2 linked regions of the Alligator mississippiensis genome follow. The protein of the gene in region 1 purifies or fractionates together with the protein of each later gene. This does not show direct contact. Links are inferred from orthologs where the notes say so. Each region holds a gene or a part of one and is shown in the gene's direction. Other genes may lie near its edges.

Evidence for each region. The genes of interacting proteins can lie anywhere in the genome.
Region 2: the proteins of TGFBR1 (region 1) and SMURF1 purify together in Homo sapiens (affinity purification with western blotting; 3 studies listed by BioGRID). This does not show direct contact. The link is inferred for Alligator mississippiensis from reciprocal best matches to the Homo sapiens genes TGFBR1 and SMURF1.

What each region holds. Positions count from the first base shown.
Region 1 is NC_081828.1:81,069,712-81,077,120, forward strand, and holds the start of TGFBR1 (TGF-beta receptor type-1), read left to right. Parts: upstream 1-4,336; 5' UTR 4,337-4,432; coding exon 4,433-4,511; intron 4,512-7,409. UniProt on the Homo sapiens protein: Transmembrane serine/threonine kinase forming with the TGF-beta type II serine/threonine kinase receptor, TGFBR2, the non-promiscuous receptor for the TGF-beta cytokines TGFB1, TGFB2 and TGFB3.
Region 2 is NC_081836.1:53,528,941-53,535,922, reverse strand, and holds the start of SMURF1 (E3 ubiquitin-protein ligase SMURF1), read left to right. Parts: upstream 1-3,897; 5' UTR 3,898-3,966; coding exon 3,967-4,021; intron 4,022-6,982. UniProt on the Homo sapiens protein: E3 ubiquitin-protein ligase that acts as a negative regulator of BMP signaling pathway. Mediates ubiquitination and degradation of SMAD1 and SMAD5, 2 receptor-regulated SMADs specific for the BMP pathway.

The sequences.
Region 1 (7,409 bases):
AGTGACTGTAGGCAGGTGGGGCATGCTTGGGAATGGCTTGGCCAGGACATGCTACTGTGATGGTATAGAGATGGCCTGTTAGTCTCATAGATTCATAGATTCATAGATGTTAGGGTCGGAAGGGACCTCAATAGATCATCGAGTCCGACCCCCTACATAAGCAGGAAAGAGCGCTGGGTCTAGATGACCCCAGCTAGATACTCATCTAACCTCCTCTTGAAAACCCCCAGGGTAGGGGAGAGCACCACCTCCCTTGGGAGCCCGTTCCAGACCTTGGCCTCTTGAACTGTGAAGAAGTTCCTCCTAATGTCCAATCTAAATCTGCTCTCCGCTAGCTTGTGGCCATTGTTTCTTGTAACCCCCGGGGGCACCTTGGTGAATAAATACTCACCAATTCTCAGCCTTAGAGAAAAGGTATCATTCTTATGGATGTAAACTGTGAAGTTGGGTGGGCACTTCCTGCTTTATTTTGCATGCTGAGAGCCTCCATATGTTCTGGAAGATGTTCATAAACTTTCCTCAGTTGTTTTAGTTGGCTCTGGCTAATCACAGACAGTCAAAAGGCCAGTGGCTGAATTGATTCAATCTTCACAGGCTAGTCTAATCTGTGTAGATTGAACTGATAAGCAAGCGAACAAATGTTCACTTTTGATTCTGGAAATGCAGCCACATGCCTGCAGTGGCCCAGGCCAGAAGCCAGAGGGCCTGGGCCACTGGCCCTAAAGCATGCCTCCTTGCTCTGCTGGAAGAGACAGCTTAGGCCAAGGTTAGCTTGCCTTCCCTGCAAGCGGGGGTTTGTAGGGGAGGTGAAAAGCATCCCGGGGAGCTGGGGAACTCTGATTTAACTTGAATTTGGAGAGGATTTGGGACAGAAGTTCAATAAAACAATTTAACCTAAATGAGTTAAGTCATACTAAACTGATGATTTAATTCAGTTAAATCATACTACATCCATCCAAGTTTATCTTAAACTGGTTTCAGCCATTTTGAAAGTGGTTAATGCATACTGAACTTCTGTTGTTACAGATTTGATCCTTTTTCTGATCACTTATACTTGTTTATTTGTAATTTCTGCCCCTAGCCTCTGAGTACGTCCTTCCTATGTTTCAGTCTGAACTGGGTGAATTCCTTTTGACTGGCAAATTCTATTTGTTAATTCTGGGTTTTCCAGTAGCCATTCATGGTATTTTTGTCATTGGGATTTGGGACAATCTAGTGTCTTCTCAGGCATGTAACCTTTTGCAAAGTTCTTCAGTGCAAGATCATTCAAACTATACTTTCACCTTTCTTTCCTTCTCTCATATTTATTTTCAGAGCTTCTACTCTGGGACTTTTAACAGCTCCAATATATCATTCGCGGTATTTTAGCTTGTCTTAGTCCTGGTAGCATAAGATGTTCTGTAATCACTCAGAGCCAAGAGCCTGACAGAAGTGTGCCTCAGTTCTCACTGATCAGAGCCAACACAAAACAAAAAAAATGGTTTCAAATGGCTCTTGGAAAAAACCTTTAAAGGTATAGTTCCCTACACACACAGGGAAAGCTGTTATTTGAATGGAGGCCTACATCCAGCCCCCTTCCCCCCCTCCCTGCCACCGTTTCGGGGCTGGGCCGGGCTGGGCAGGACCCAGTGCCCCTCCCCCCAAAACAGTCAATCGGAATGCAAATAAAGCACGACAGACAGACAGACAGACAGGCTAAGGCTTTTATAATATTAGAATTTCAGCACTGGAAGTTGAATGAGAGGCATAACTGGGAAATGTGATGTAATAAAAAATATGGAAGAAGGTAAGATGTTTTAGTCCTGAATCAAGGTAGATGGAAGATAATGCAGCTATATACGGCTATTGTGTGTTGCAGTAATGGAGTATGAACTACCTGAATTGCATAGCAATGGTCCTAAAATCCGTCCAGTGAGAACAAGCTGTAATGTTGAGGTATCCATTACTACTCACTGAAGGTCAAGATCTCCAGTGTCAGAATCTGTTCCTTCTCTAACCTCAGTAATAACAGATAATGATTTTTAAAGCAGTTAAAAGTTCAGAGGTTTGAAACAACAGACGTGAGATTGTAGCACCAGGACAGGCAGTTTAGAGCTTAAATAGTCTGTTATATAGTACCTCTGTGGTTACTCCTCCTACCCATTTTACCCCTTTCAACTTTGCACTGCCTCTTGCTGCTTGCTTTGACCCCAGGGTGTGGTCTGCAATCCATTTGAGGTCTTGGGTATCTAAGGGTCAGGACTGTAGATATGGTGGCTGTAGCTACTTTCCCCCTAGCAGTCTTTTTCCTTGGTCCGTGTTTCAGGGAGGGATGATTGGTTGAACCTATCAGTTAATTTACAGGTAACATTTACTCCTATGCTGCCATTTGGAAGCTCATCATATTTTCTGCTAATTTATGGTTTAATTTTATTGTTGGCTGCCAGCCAAAAAGCAGTGTCAAAGACTTCTGCAGTCTGGGAAGTGGGTTAGGAGCCATCTGCAGGGGACATAGGGGAAGAGTGGATTCAGTCATGGAAGCCCTCAAGCACTCTAGTGGAAGGGAGAGAATAGAAAATAATTTCAACACTTATTTGCCTTGTCTTATTTTGGGCTTGACATACCTCCAGAAGACCCATGAAGAAGAGATGAATGTTGAAATATGAAGAATAATGGCTTTTGAACCTAAGCTTCATAACAAAATAAACTCCTGATTAAATTCTAACTGTAATTAAAGCAAAAAGCAGAGATGACCAGAGCAGGGTGCAGGGCCCTCCCTCCAGATGCAAGAAAGCTGGTGGCAGATTCGGTTGGGGGGAGGAGGGTCCTAAGCAGCCAGACATGCCAGATTCGGCAGCGGATTTGGTGGTGGCAGGGGGTGTGTGGGGGACAGTGGCAGCGTGGAGTCACTGCTCTGCTGGGCCCCGCAAAGCATGTGACCCAGGGCAGTCACCCTGATTTCCCCCCCCCCCCCCCCCCCCCCCCCCCCCCCCGGACAGCCCTAGCAAAAACACAAGATTTGAACAACCTTAACTATGCCCCAGCATTTGTTAGTAATGTTTCCTTTTCATTAGTTTCCTTCCCTGTTAATCTTTCTCATTAGTTTGAGTGACTAAACATATGTTTGCCTAGTAATGTTGAATCTGCTAGTGTGACAGGAGCAATTCCTGTGTGTATGTAACAGAGTTACAATTTGTGTCAGATCACAAAGATACATAACCCTGTTCTTATGATACTAAGATTACAGCATTATTTTGCTCAGCAAGGAAAAATGCAACTTGGGTGTGTTTCTGTAGTGCGGTGACAGTTGCTAGGAGAAAACGGAAAGGAGAACGAAGGAGTAAATATTAATTTTGCACGCTTGTGAACTGTTTAGAAGCGTTCCTGATTCATAACCATTTGCGTTTGTCCGAAAGGTAGGGTTTCTTATAAAAATGACTGCACACATACGCAGAACTGAGAAATAGCTTTTGTAGTGTATGTACAACTTGTTTTCAAGGAGACCCCCTAGCTCACCCCAGACAGAGGGACATGTGGTTATGTAGGAGTAGAGCTGCAATGCCCAGACTGGCTGGCACTGTGCTGCTAGACTTCCTGGGTGCTACGCCATGCTTTGTCGGGGGACACCATATGCTGGCTGAATGGTGGAAGGAATCGGAGATCTAGAAGTGCTTGGGCAAAGTTAGCCCGCTGGAGTGGTTGTGGGTTTTGCCCCAGCTCAGCCAGCTGCAGAGCAAATGGTCGGTGTGGGCGAGTGGGTTTTGGACTGGGAGGAACAAGCAAGGAAAGGAAGCGCCGGCTTCAAGGCAGGGTCTCCACCCCGCAACCCTCCCGGGGACCCAGCTCAGCGCAGCGGCCCTCACCCCCTCGGCAAGGGCCGACTCCTAGCGGTCCCGCCGGCACTGACTGCAGAGCAGCCCTGCGGCCGCCGACAACCCCAGCAGCTCTCCACAGGGGGTCCCCAGCGTCAGTTCCAGGTTGCTCTGCTGAACCGCAGCCGCCCGGCTCAGTCACCGCCCGGGGAGCCTCCGCCCACGGGCCCCGCTGCCGTGATATAGCGGCGCGGCCGCAGGCGGTACTCCAGTGCTCTCCCCGCCGGGCGCCCCCAGACAGGCAGGAGCCCCGCCCCGCCCCGCCCCCGCCCGCCGGGCCCTGGCGGCCTCCCGAGGGCGGGGCCTCGCCTGCCACTCAGGTTCGGGCCCCGCCCCGCTGGCCGCGCGCCGGGCCGGTTGTAGGCTCGCGCCCCTTGTTGTTGCTCGGAATGTCTGCAGCTGCCGTTGGGGGCGGGGCCGGGGGCGGTGGCCGCCAATCAGGAGCGGCCTCCGCTTCAGTTGCCCGGGGGGGGCCGGGCCCGGCGGCGCGAGGCTGTGTGTCTCAGTTAGGCGGGCGCGCGGGGGCCTCCAGGCGGCGGCCGGTCGCGCGGGGTGGGCCCCGGCTGGGCTGTTGCGGGACGATGGCGCGAGCGGCTCCCGGGTGGCCCCGGGCCCGCCTGTGGCTGGCGGCCGCCCTGCTGCTGCTCCCGGGGGCAGCGGGTGAGTGCTGCGGCCAGGGCTGGAGCGGGGGGGCGGCGCCTTGGGTCCGGCGGCTCCTTTCACCAACATGGCGCGGGGGCCGGGCCGGGCGCTGGCCGCGGGGGAGGTCTATGCTGGCCAGAGCCCGCGGCCTCGTCCCATTGTTGGCCGGGCCGGTGCGGGCTGGGCCGGGCCGGGCCGGGGGGCGGGTCCTGCGGGGGCGGGGCCGGTGGGGCTCCGCTAGTGTCCGCAACCGCAGCGCCGGCGCCTCCGTGCGGGATCGGGCCGGGCCGGGGCAGGCAGGAGCTGTGGCAGGGGCCAAGGGCCGGCCGGGGTGGGGGCGCGCAGCCGCGGCCGTTGTGCTCCGAGTGCGGGGCTGTCCGCGGAGCGGAGCCAAATGCAGCCCGCCGAGCCCGGGCACTCGTTCCGGGCCCCGCGCGCCGCTCGTCTCTCTGCCCTGGAGTTCCCCTGGGGGTAGAAAGTAACTTCGTAGCTCTAGCTCTTGTTCTTGCTCTCTCTTTAACCTGGGGAAACTTCATGACTTCCTTCTTTTGGTTTTTTGTGTATGTGTGTCTCGAGCGCTTTGTGCGAGCCGGAGGCCTCCCTCGCAGTCTGTGTTTTCATCTGGTAAACCTTACGGTTTCCTCACTGAGCCAGAGTCTCACTTTACGCTGAAGCTTGTGCAGCAATAAATGACATAACTAGATCCTGTCTGAAGCTGTCTTGTTCTCATAACTAAAGTTGTTTTGACGAGATGAAGCAGGTATTTTTTTAAAGGGGGGGGCGGGGATGACAAACAATGAAGTAAGAGTGGAGTGAAATACCTGGTTGCTGCTCACTGTCTCAGGCTTGCTACAGGTTTTGAGTAGCTTAACCTTCGGAGCACAGTATCCTTCTGACTTGCGTGGTATGGAGAAAATCTTACGCTGGTGGGGTAATGCTTAGGAAAATCATGTCTAACATTTCTTTTGCTGAACCAGGCAGATTTTGTAAGAGCTGGGGTGTGATGAGGTATAGTGGGACTGGGAGGAATGGGTTATAGTGGGACTGGCTTCCATAACATCTTTGTGTGCTGCACATTTGAAAAGATATAGTGCTCCTTGAAAGCATTTTTACAGATATTTTTCTGAAAAGTGCTGGTACCAGGTTGAATCTGCTTATGATAAGTTAGGACTGATACCTTATCATAAGCAGATTCAACCTGGTACCAGCCCTTATAAAAATCCTACGCTACGCTGAACTGTTAACTGAATTGCCAGTCTGCTTGTATGACAGCCCAAGGGCCACATGCAGCCTCTGAAGAGTAGATACATAGTCCTCAGGCTCCCACCCTTGGGCTCCCTGTTTGCCAGGTTGCTCTGGCTCTTCCCTGCTCTCTCCCCCTTCTGGCTGCTGCCTCCTGCCTTCATCCTAGGGGTATGGCAGTGTGGGGAGCTGAGGGTCAGCTCAGGGTTCAGGGGAGGGAGGGAAGAGTTGGGGATTGCACTTGAGTGGTGCAGAAGGAAGAGGAGGGGGATGTGCATGTTGACGTGGGAAGCAGGTTGCACCCACGTGGCTCAGTAGTTGAAGGGGGCGGGAACTTCTGCATAATATACCTGGTCTGGCCCCCGGGGACCTAGAAGTTGGACAGCCCTGGCACAGGTTGTCCTACATTTATGTAAAACAAAATAATAATTTTGTCTTAACATTCAGTGTCTGTCATTGGATGCCCTTTGTGATAATCAGGGATCCTGGTTTTCCCTGACAAAAAAATCATAAATTCTCCAATAACCCCCTCACCCCCCCCATCCATTATTAAAAAGAAAGCCCATCCCCATCCTCCCTGGCCCTGCTGGTGCCCCCCACCCCCAGCTCCTGCTCCCCCAGCTCTGCTGGAGGCGGGCCCCCAGCTGCCAGAGCTATGGAGCCAGGGACTCGGGTCCACAGCCCTCTGCCCCTTGCAGCAGGTAGTAGTTGTTGCAGTGGAGCGGAGCCTGGTGCACACCTGCTGCCTGCTTGCTTCAGATTTGTGCAGGGGGGGCAGATCCCTGCCACAGTGTGCACTCTGGAGAGGCAGGGGGGGACCCATGGGGCCAGGGCTGCATGCTATGGGCACCCATCCTGCTCCCCTCCCCTGGGACATCTGCAGCCTGGCACATGCGACCTGGCACTGCAAAGAACAGCAAGGCCACTCAGGAAAGCTGCTTGCCACTGCGAGTGCTGTACTGCCCTGGCAATGCATCCTCTGTGCGCAACCCCACGCCGCCACCCCCGCTGCATCCACGTGTACAGGGGACCGCGTTGCCAGGGCAGTGCAGAGCTCGTAACCACAAGCAGCTTTCCTGTGCAGGCTTGCTGTTCTTTGCAGCACCAGGTTGCAGAAGCCCCAGGAGAGGTCATAGGTGCGGAAACCCGCAGCAGGCAGCATGCAGCCCCCACCCTCCACATAGTTCTAGGGGGCACAGGTCCCTCCTGCTCTCCAGGACGGCACACTGCAGTGAGGAGCAGGGACCACCCCCCCCCCCCAGACAGATCTGGTGGGCATGGGTCCCCCTACCCCCCGGGAGTGCATACAGCAGCAGGAAGCTGCCTGCTGGGTGAGCTGCCCGCGGCCCTATTCCGCTCCCTGCCAGGGCTCTGTGGCCGTGCATTACAGCTCCAGGCCCCAAGCCCCAGGTGCTGCCTAGCTGGGCAGCAGCCCCTGCCTTGCTTAACTCCCTCCCTTCTTCCATTTGGGACCATCAATGCTTCCTCCCCCCCACTTACCTGTGGGAGCTGTTCTCCAGGCTGCCTCATGGCCATACGTATATGTATGCACATGGATACCCTGCCTGGCCACCCTCCTCCCGCTCCCCCCAGTCCCTTGCAGGCTGAAAACTTGCCAGCCTGCAGGGAGCTCTTTGCAACACAGCAAAATCTTCAGGTTTCTCCTGTAAAATG
Region 2 (6,982 bases), on another chromosome or scaffold:
TTGCAGTGCAACTCTGCCTTGATATTAGATTACTGCAAGGCGCTTGGTGGGGCTGTGCTGTTCTATAATCTCCCACCGGTGGTCTGGTGGCAGCAGAAGTGTTAGCACAGATTGTCTGTCTGGCGCTCCCGCCACTACGTAGAATAGCTCTGGCGGTGGCAGCAATTCTAGATGACCTGGAACTGGTCTGGGTTAGCACTTCTACCAAGACTGTCATTGGAGACTTAAGATGTGCAAGGTAACCCAGGCTCCCATCACTGGACTTCAGTTTAGCAAGGAATGCAGTTGGCCATATACCAAATGCTGCCTCATTCAGATGGCCTATTCCATGGATGGCTGCCCAGTGTCTCCCAAGACTAGATAGCCTGCTATGCCTACAGGCATCTGGCACTGCCCTCTTATTCATCCATCTCTGCTTACAGTCATGTTGTAGGTAGGTATTTCCACCTTTACTACAGCCAGTTAAACTCCAGCTGCACCAAGTCGAACTCGGTTGAAAGAGGAAATTCATGTGCTCTTCCCTAAATGAGCTAGATTTTTTTTCACTCCATTTCCCTAATGGAAGTACGCATTCATTTGTTCCAACCCTTTCAAATGACAGGAGTTAGTAAATGATCACCAGAAGGCTTCTGCCTGTAATTTGCCAGTGCAGGCAGGTACAGTGATGTACCCATTCAGGGTTATCTTCCCTTACTATAAATGACAATTCAGTGGGTAAGGGGACCTCTCCTCCAACTCTTCCTTTCCAATCCCAAATGAATTACTCTGCCACCTGAACTACACCCTTTTATTGTAATTTGCTTGCCTGGCTGGTTTTCAGCTGTGTGCAAGTGTGACTTATATTAAACATTTTTCAGAGGATAAGTTAAGCCCTAGAGTGGAGTTCAGATGCTTGAAGTATTAGAGAGAAGATCCAGACTTCATGCACTGCTTTATCAGATATACATGATCAATGAAACAAGAAACCACAGCAATACTAGAAAGTCTGAAAGATAAATCTTAAAAAGGAAGGATTTGAATGAATAAAAGCCAAGCAGTGTGCTTTACTTTGCCTATTGCACCTGAACCTGTTATCTAACTTTACAGTCCAAGGTAACTATAAATTTATGGAGTCTTCCTTTCACTGCAGCCAGTAGTCTCCCTGGAAATCGCAGCGTATTTTCCTCCCTGTTCTGCCTGAATGACATCCTATATATAGAGAGAGATTCACAGAGTTGGCTCAGCAAACAGATTGTAACATCTACAGCTATTGTACCTCCAAGTGACAATCCACAGATGAAAATAAGCAGTGAGGAAAATCTGCTATTGGGAGACAAGGCATTAGAAACCAGCATAACATATGTTCTGGAAATCAAACAGCAAGAGTTTGGGGTTAGTCATAAATATCCTTGCCTTGCTTCTCATTCCTGAATATGCTTAAAGTGATAGAACCCTTGGAGTGAAAATGTCAGGCTGCCTGGTTCCCAGTTGAGGTATGAATTAATTAACAAATGCTTTTCCAGACTGTGGAAAGCACTACACACAGGGTTATCAGCTGTGGATTGAAGGGCTAGATAGTGACATTTCATACCATGCATGAAAGAATAGGCAAAGTTCAATAAAATCTGTGGTTTAAAATCCATAGATTCTCTTCCACGTGCAAGACTGGCTGCTTTGAAATCCAGTCTGAATATACTTACAAGAGGAAAACTTGAAACAATTGTGCCTGGCCACTTGGCTGTCCCTGTGGTTCAGACACCTTCACATGCATTTCTGCTTGCCTTGATTTACTTTTTGCTCCAAAAGAGGGGGAGCTTAGAAAGTGTGCTGTCTTAACTTATGTGAGGGGTGAGCCATGCCACTTCCATCTACCAAGCACAGATGATGATCTCAGCTTAAATAGAGTTAGGAGCAAAGCACAACCCAAGCGTACATTACCCTGCTTCCAGTTCAATAAATCAGCCAGGTTGGGGAACTAGGTCATCTCCTTGCCTGCAGAAAAGAAATGCTAACATTTGCGATGCTACCATTTGTGATTTAATAGTATTTACAGAGTCTGTCGGGCTGAGCTACTCTCATGTAGCCCCTCATCTGCTCGCAGTATGTACCTAAATAGCCAGGCGTTTCAGTCTCAGTGCGACTGGGAGCATCAAAATGAGCCTGGCCCAGTGAGTCTAACATTGAATCAAGTGATGGCATGGAGGTGGGATGAGACTAAAACCACTTCTTGAGGGTGGGGTTTTTGGTTGTAGCCACATTGGGCTAAGGACATAGGCAGGCAAGGGTTGGTTTTTTTTTTTAGTAGATGTGTATATATTATACAAGTAATAATTCCCCCCTCAAGAGAGAGGCAAGGTTTTTTGAGTAATGGGATATCTTTTATTAGACCTAATAGAAGATATCACAGCTGTGTACTCAGTTGGTCTAATAGAAGATATCATATCTACTCAAGAAACCTTGCCTACCTCTTGGGGGGTGAACTAGTATTTATATTATGCTGACTATACTGTAATTATCTGGGTGGGAGCCTGAGGTAGGACACAGGGCTCTTTGGAAAGGCCCTGTCCCATCTTCCTCAGCAAAGGGTGATGCTATTGGATCTGCCATTTATATGGGGTCTGATATTAGGAAGCCCTGGACCCTAACGAGGCCGATGGCGTGCAGAGATTCATAAGGGAGGCGAGGCACCGACCTGCACGTCCAGCCCCAGTACCTAAGCATAACAGATATTTTGGGGAGTGATGTAGCCCAGATGGTTTGGGAACGATGCGAGAGTAGACTTGCCGAATCGGTTTGAATCTATTCTGGGAGGTTTCTGGAGTGCCAGCACGCCCGTGACACGCAACGCAAATGTGCCCACCTGCTTGCATATAATAATTATGGATGGCAGGGCACAGACTTTACATGGGGAAGGTGAATTCACACGACTGTCGGACTTTAAAATCTACTGGACTGCTGCGTACCTCAGATTCAACCTCGTATACAGGTAGTCCTCAATGTACAAGGTTTCGAGTTGCAACATTTTGCACTTACGACGTTTATAAATTGACACCGTTTCAACTTTCTGACCTCAGTTTTGACTTCACAGCGCTTGATCAGATGTGATGCCGCACCAGCGAAGAAGTTTGCTGCATCGCCCATCTCCTTGGAGAACACCTGTCCCAGCTTCCTAGGGCACTTCCTTTAAAAAGGCAGCCGAGACTCCCGAGAAGACTCCAGCCGAGAGCCCTTCAAAAAGTCCAACAGACTCGCCTCAGAGAAGTCCTTCCAAATCAATGTGATTGCTATTTACAGTAGAAATACATTAATGTAGCTATAGTACTCATCTATAATTGATTGAGTACAAAAGGCTGGGATGTTTTTGGTGAAAATAAGGTACCGGGCCTTGATTCGGGAACCAATCCCCCATTTATAACATTGTTTCTTATGAGAAAATCAGTTCCGAGTTGCACCGTTTGGACTTAAGATGCTGTTTTCAGTAGCCAGGTGTGTCATAAGACCAGGGACTGCCTGTATAGATTTTACATCCAGAAGGTGTGTGCACACGACGGTCGTGTGTTAAAACCTGGACCGCTGCATACATCAGATTCAACCACAGGTATGCATTTTCATGCACGCCCTATCATTTGTCTCCTGGGGATCGCATCTAATGCCTGCAGCCTCCAGACCAGCCCTGGACGGTGTGCAGACACACCTAGCGGCTGCAGCCTCCTGCAGGCGCGGCCGCCCCGCGTGGGAGCCAAGGGCTTTCTTCAGGGGGCGCAGCTGTCTTCCCGCCGGCGCCTTCCGCTGGCGGCCCCGCCCCTAGGGTGTGGCACCGCCCCCCGCGCGCGCGGACCTCACCAACATGGTGGCGCGCCGGCGTCATGACGTGCGCGGCCTGGGGGCGGGGCGAGCGCGCTGTCCTGGGCCGGGCCGGGCCGGCGTCGAGCGGCGGCGGCGGCGGCTGGGCTGGGCCCGGATGGGGGCGGCGGCCGCGGGGCTGCGATGTCGACCCCGGGGACGCGTCGGAGCGGCTCCAGCATCAAGATCCGGCTGACAGGTAGCGGCAGCGGGGCTGACCGTTATTCCCCCCCCCCCCACCACCACCCCCTTGAGCAGGCCGGGCCTGGGGGGTCTACCCGTCCGCATCGCCGCAGGCCGCAACCTCCCCGCGGGCGGCTCCTGAGGGGGGCCGTGCTGCGGAGTGAACTTCCTCGGGGGCAGTGTCCGGGGGGGGGGGGTCCACGTCCTTTGCTTTCCCTGCCCACGCCGGCGAGGGTGCGTGGCTGGGGGGCGCGCCGGCTCCTCCACGCGAGGCAGCGATCCGCGCGGGGCGAGGCTCCCGGCTTGGCAAGGCAACAGGTGCCTCCTGGAGCATCGCCCTGCCCGGGGGCGCCGTGCCCGGGACGTGGGCGCCCGCGCTTCTCTGCCGGGCGTGTGAAAGGTGGCGGGTTTAATAACGAGTCGGTGGCGGGACTGCCACGCGCCGCACGCGCCTCTGGGCAAAACCCCCCATTCTTCCCGTGGGTTTGGTTGGTCTCGGGACACACCTTGCTTGCCCCGGAGAACTAACGAATGGATTTCTTTTTAAAAAAAAAAAAAAGTATTTTGTGGAGACGGGTTACTCATTTCTTCCCTTGCGAAGCGAGCGCGTGTCGCTTGCTGGGCGCCGGCGCGGTTCTCAACTGGGGCTGGACTCGATCGGCCGAGGTCCCTCCCGGCCCTAACATCGATATAGGTTCGCTCACATACCTGTCTCTGACACAGCAGTGTAGATTTTTTTTTACCGATCGAGAAGGAGCCAAGGGATTGGTGTGTAATGCACCCGCAATCCCCCTCCGAACACGGCAGCGACAGTAAATGGGACCAGAAGTTACTTGTTTTGCCCGTTCCGGTGAATGCTGCGTCAGATGGCTTGTCTCTTCATTTTTGCTTCGTGCCGGCATGAACTTACTTTCATAGTGAAAATCATTTTGTAGAGAGCCGACGGATGTAAGGGCTAGGATTGCTTCTGTGTCCTGTTTCTCGGTAGCAGTCTTTAAAATACATTGAGGAAATATCCGACCTGGTCAGCCACCTCTTTGTTTTTATTAACAGAAATCTCTAGTTGGTGAGTCAACACGTGCAGTATTTTGTCTGCAAAAGAATTGCTTCGAGAGAGAGTTTTCACTTCAGAAACATTAGTAAACGTTTCACTTCTGACTTCCTTGGAAATTTGCTTGTTGGCTGATCTGCTTCAAAGAACTGTAGCTAATATGCCTTTTGTTGTTAAATTCTGTTTTGGTTTTGAGAGATTTGAGCTGAATTATAGTAAACGCAGACCATCTTTTGTTATGATTGACCGCTTACATCACATTTCCTATGACTGAATTTGCAGTTTGTTTTCCCACAATTTTAAACAATCTCTGTTTTGCACTACTGAACATTGCTGTGTAAATACCACTAAGATTGAAGCTGCCTCCAAGAGCCACTCCATAAATGAGATGTGAACATTGGTGTACACTTTCAGTGTTTAAGAAAGTGAACTTTGCTTTGGCACTTTCTAAAAATATTTGCATTGGGGGGTATTTATCTTATCCTGTCCTAAATTCTAGCTGCTGTGACAACAATTAAGAACATAGCTGTAGTTTGGATAGAAGATTTTGGAAGCTACCATGACGCCTAACTATAACTTAAAAAAAAAAAAAAAAAAAAGTAAATCTCAAGTCCATTTTAAAACAAAAAACCTTAGCAGCAACAAATAAGAACCAGTCAGCAGAATAAAATGATCTCACCTCGTACTCGCTTCCTAGATGCTCTCATCTCCCGTCATATGCCAACTTTCCCCCCAAGCCCTGTGCAGATAAGGCTGCCATTGTCATTGCTTCTCGTAATAACCGCGGTGAAAATGCTAATGTAGATAAAGAATACAAAATTGTTATGAGCCCTGTTGTCTTCACTGCTTGGAGCAATTTTGCAATGGTGAAACTTTTTTTTTTTTTTTTAAGTTAGAAAAGTTTCCAACAGGGTTTGTCAGTTTGCGTTTGCAAGCTGTCTGTTCACAATGTCTTGGGGTCAACAGAGGGTTGCATTTGAAAGACCAGAAAACCCTCATATATGTGCAAATAGTGTCCAATCTAACTGATAGGATTCTACCCCTGACACCCTTGCTGTTGGCTAGCGTCACGTGGAGGTGGTCTGTCAGAGGGACGGATTCCAACACAGTATAACATTTTGTTCAAATTTCACAAGCACTTGGAGACCCCAGTGAAAACTGGGGTTTCACGGTGCCAGACAGTAGCAAATAAAGATGGTTTGCACGCGATTTGGGGTAGAGACTGGGATGATAAGACAGATGATGAAGAGTAGGGAAGAGGAAGGTGATGCATATTTTTCATGTGTATAGCTTTACTATTTTTTATGTTTTATAATGAAATTGCTTTTGCCTTTTTCTAACTGCTGCCCAGCCTAGCAGTAACAGTTGAGAAGGCGATTTAAAAATGGAGTAACAACAATCTTATGGGTCAGTTCGGAGGAAAAGGCTTTGTATATGAGAGCCACCATGGAAGAAAACGTAAAGAGCTTTGTGGGAAGAATGGGCAAGTTGGTAGTTAAGGCCACTTTAATTGGCCAAAGAAAGGGAGTTTAAGACAATACTAAAACTCAAAGAAATTAAGAGCCACAGAATTAGGAAGGGCCTTGAGAATTAAGCCTGTAACTTTTTTAAAAATTGATATGAGGGTAGCAGGAGAGATCAGAACAGTATAGTTTTAGTCTTGTACAGACTGAGAAGGTATAGACATTGGGAGTATAGGTAGGAATCCTTGCCATCCTGACATGAGGAAAAGGTTAGATTTAGAAACATTCTGGAGGAACAAGCCTTCAGATTTGGAGGAAACCTAGACTTATTAGATAAAAGGAATCAAAGACAATGCCTAGGCTATAGGACTAATTTTATAGAAAGCTGGTGATGGTAGTTGGCAGAGAAAGGTGTGGGGGGAGAAAAGAATGGTAATAAGTAACAGTCCAGTTCTTACACATT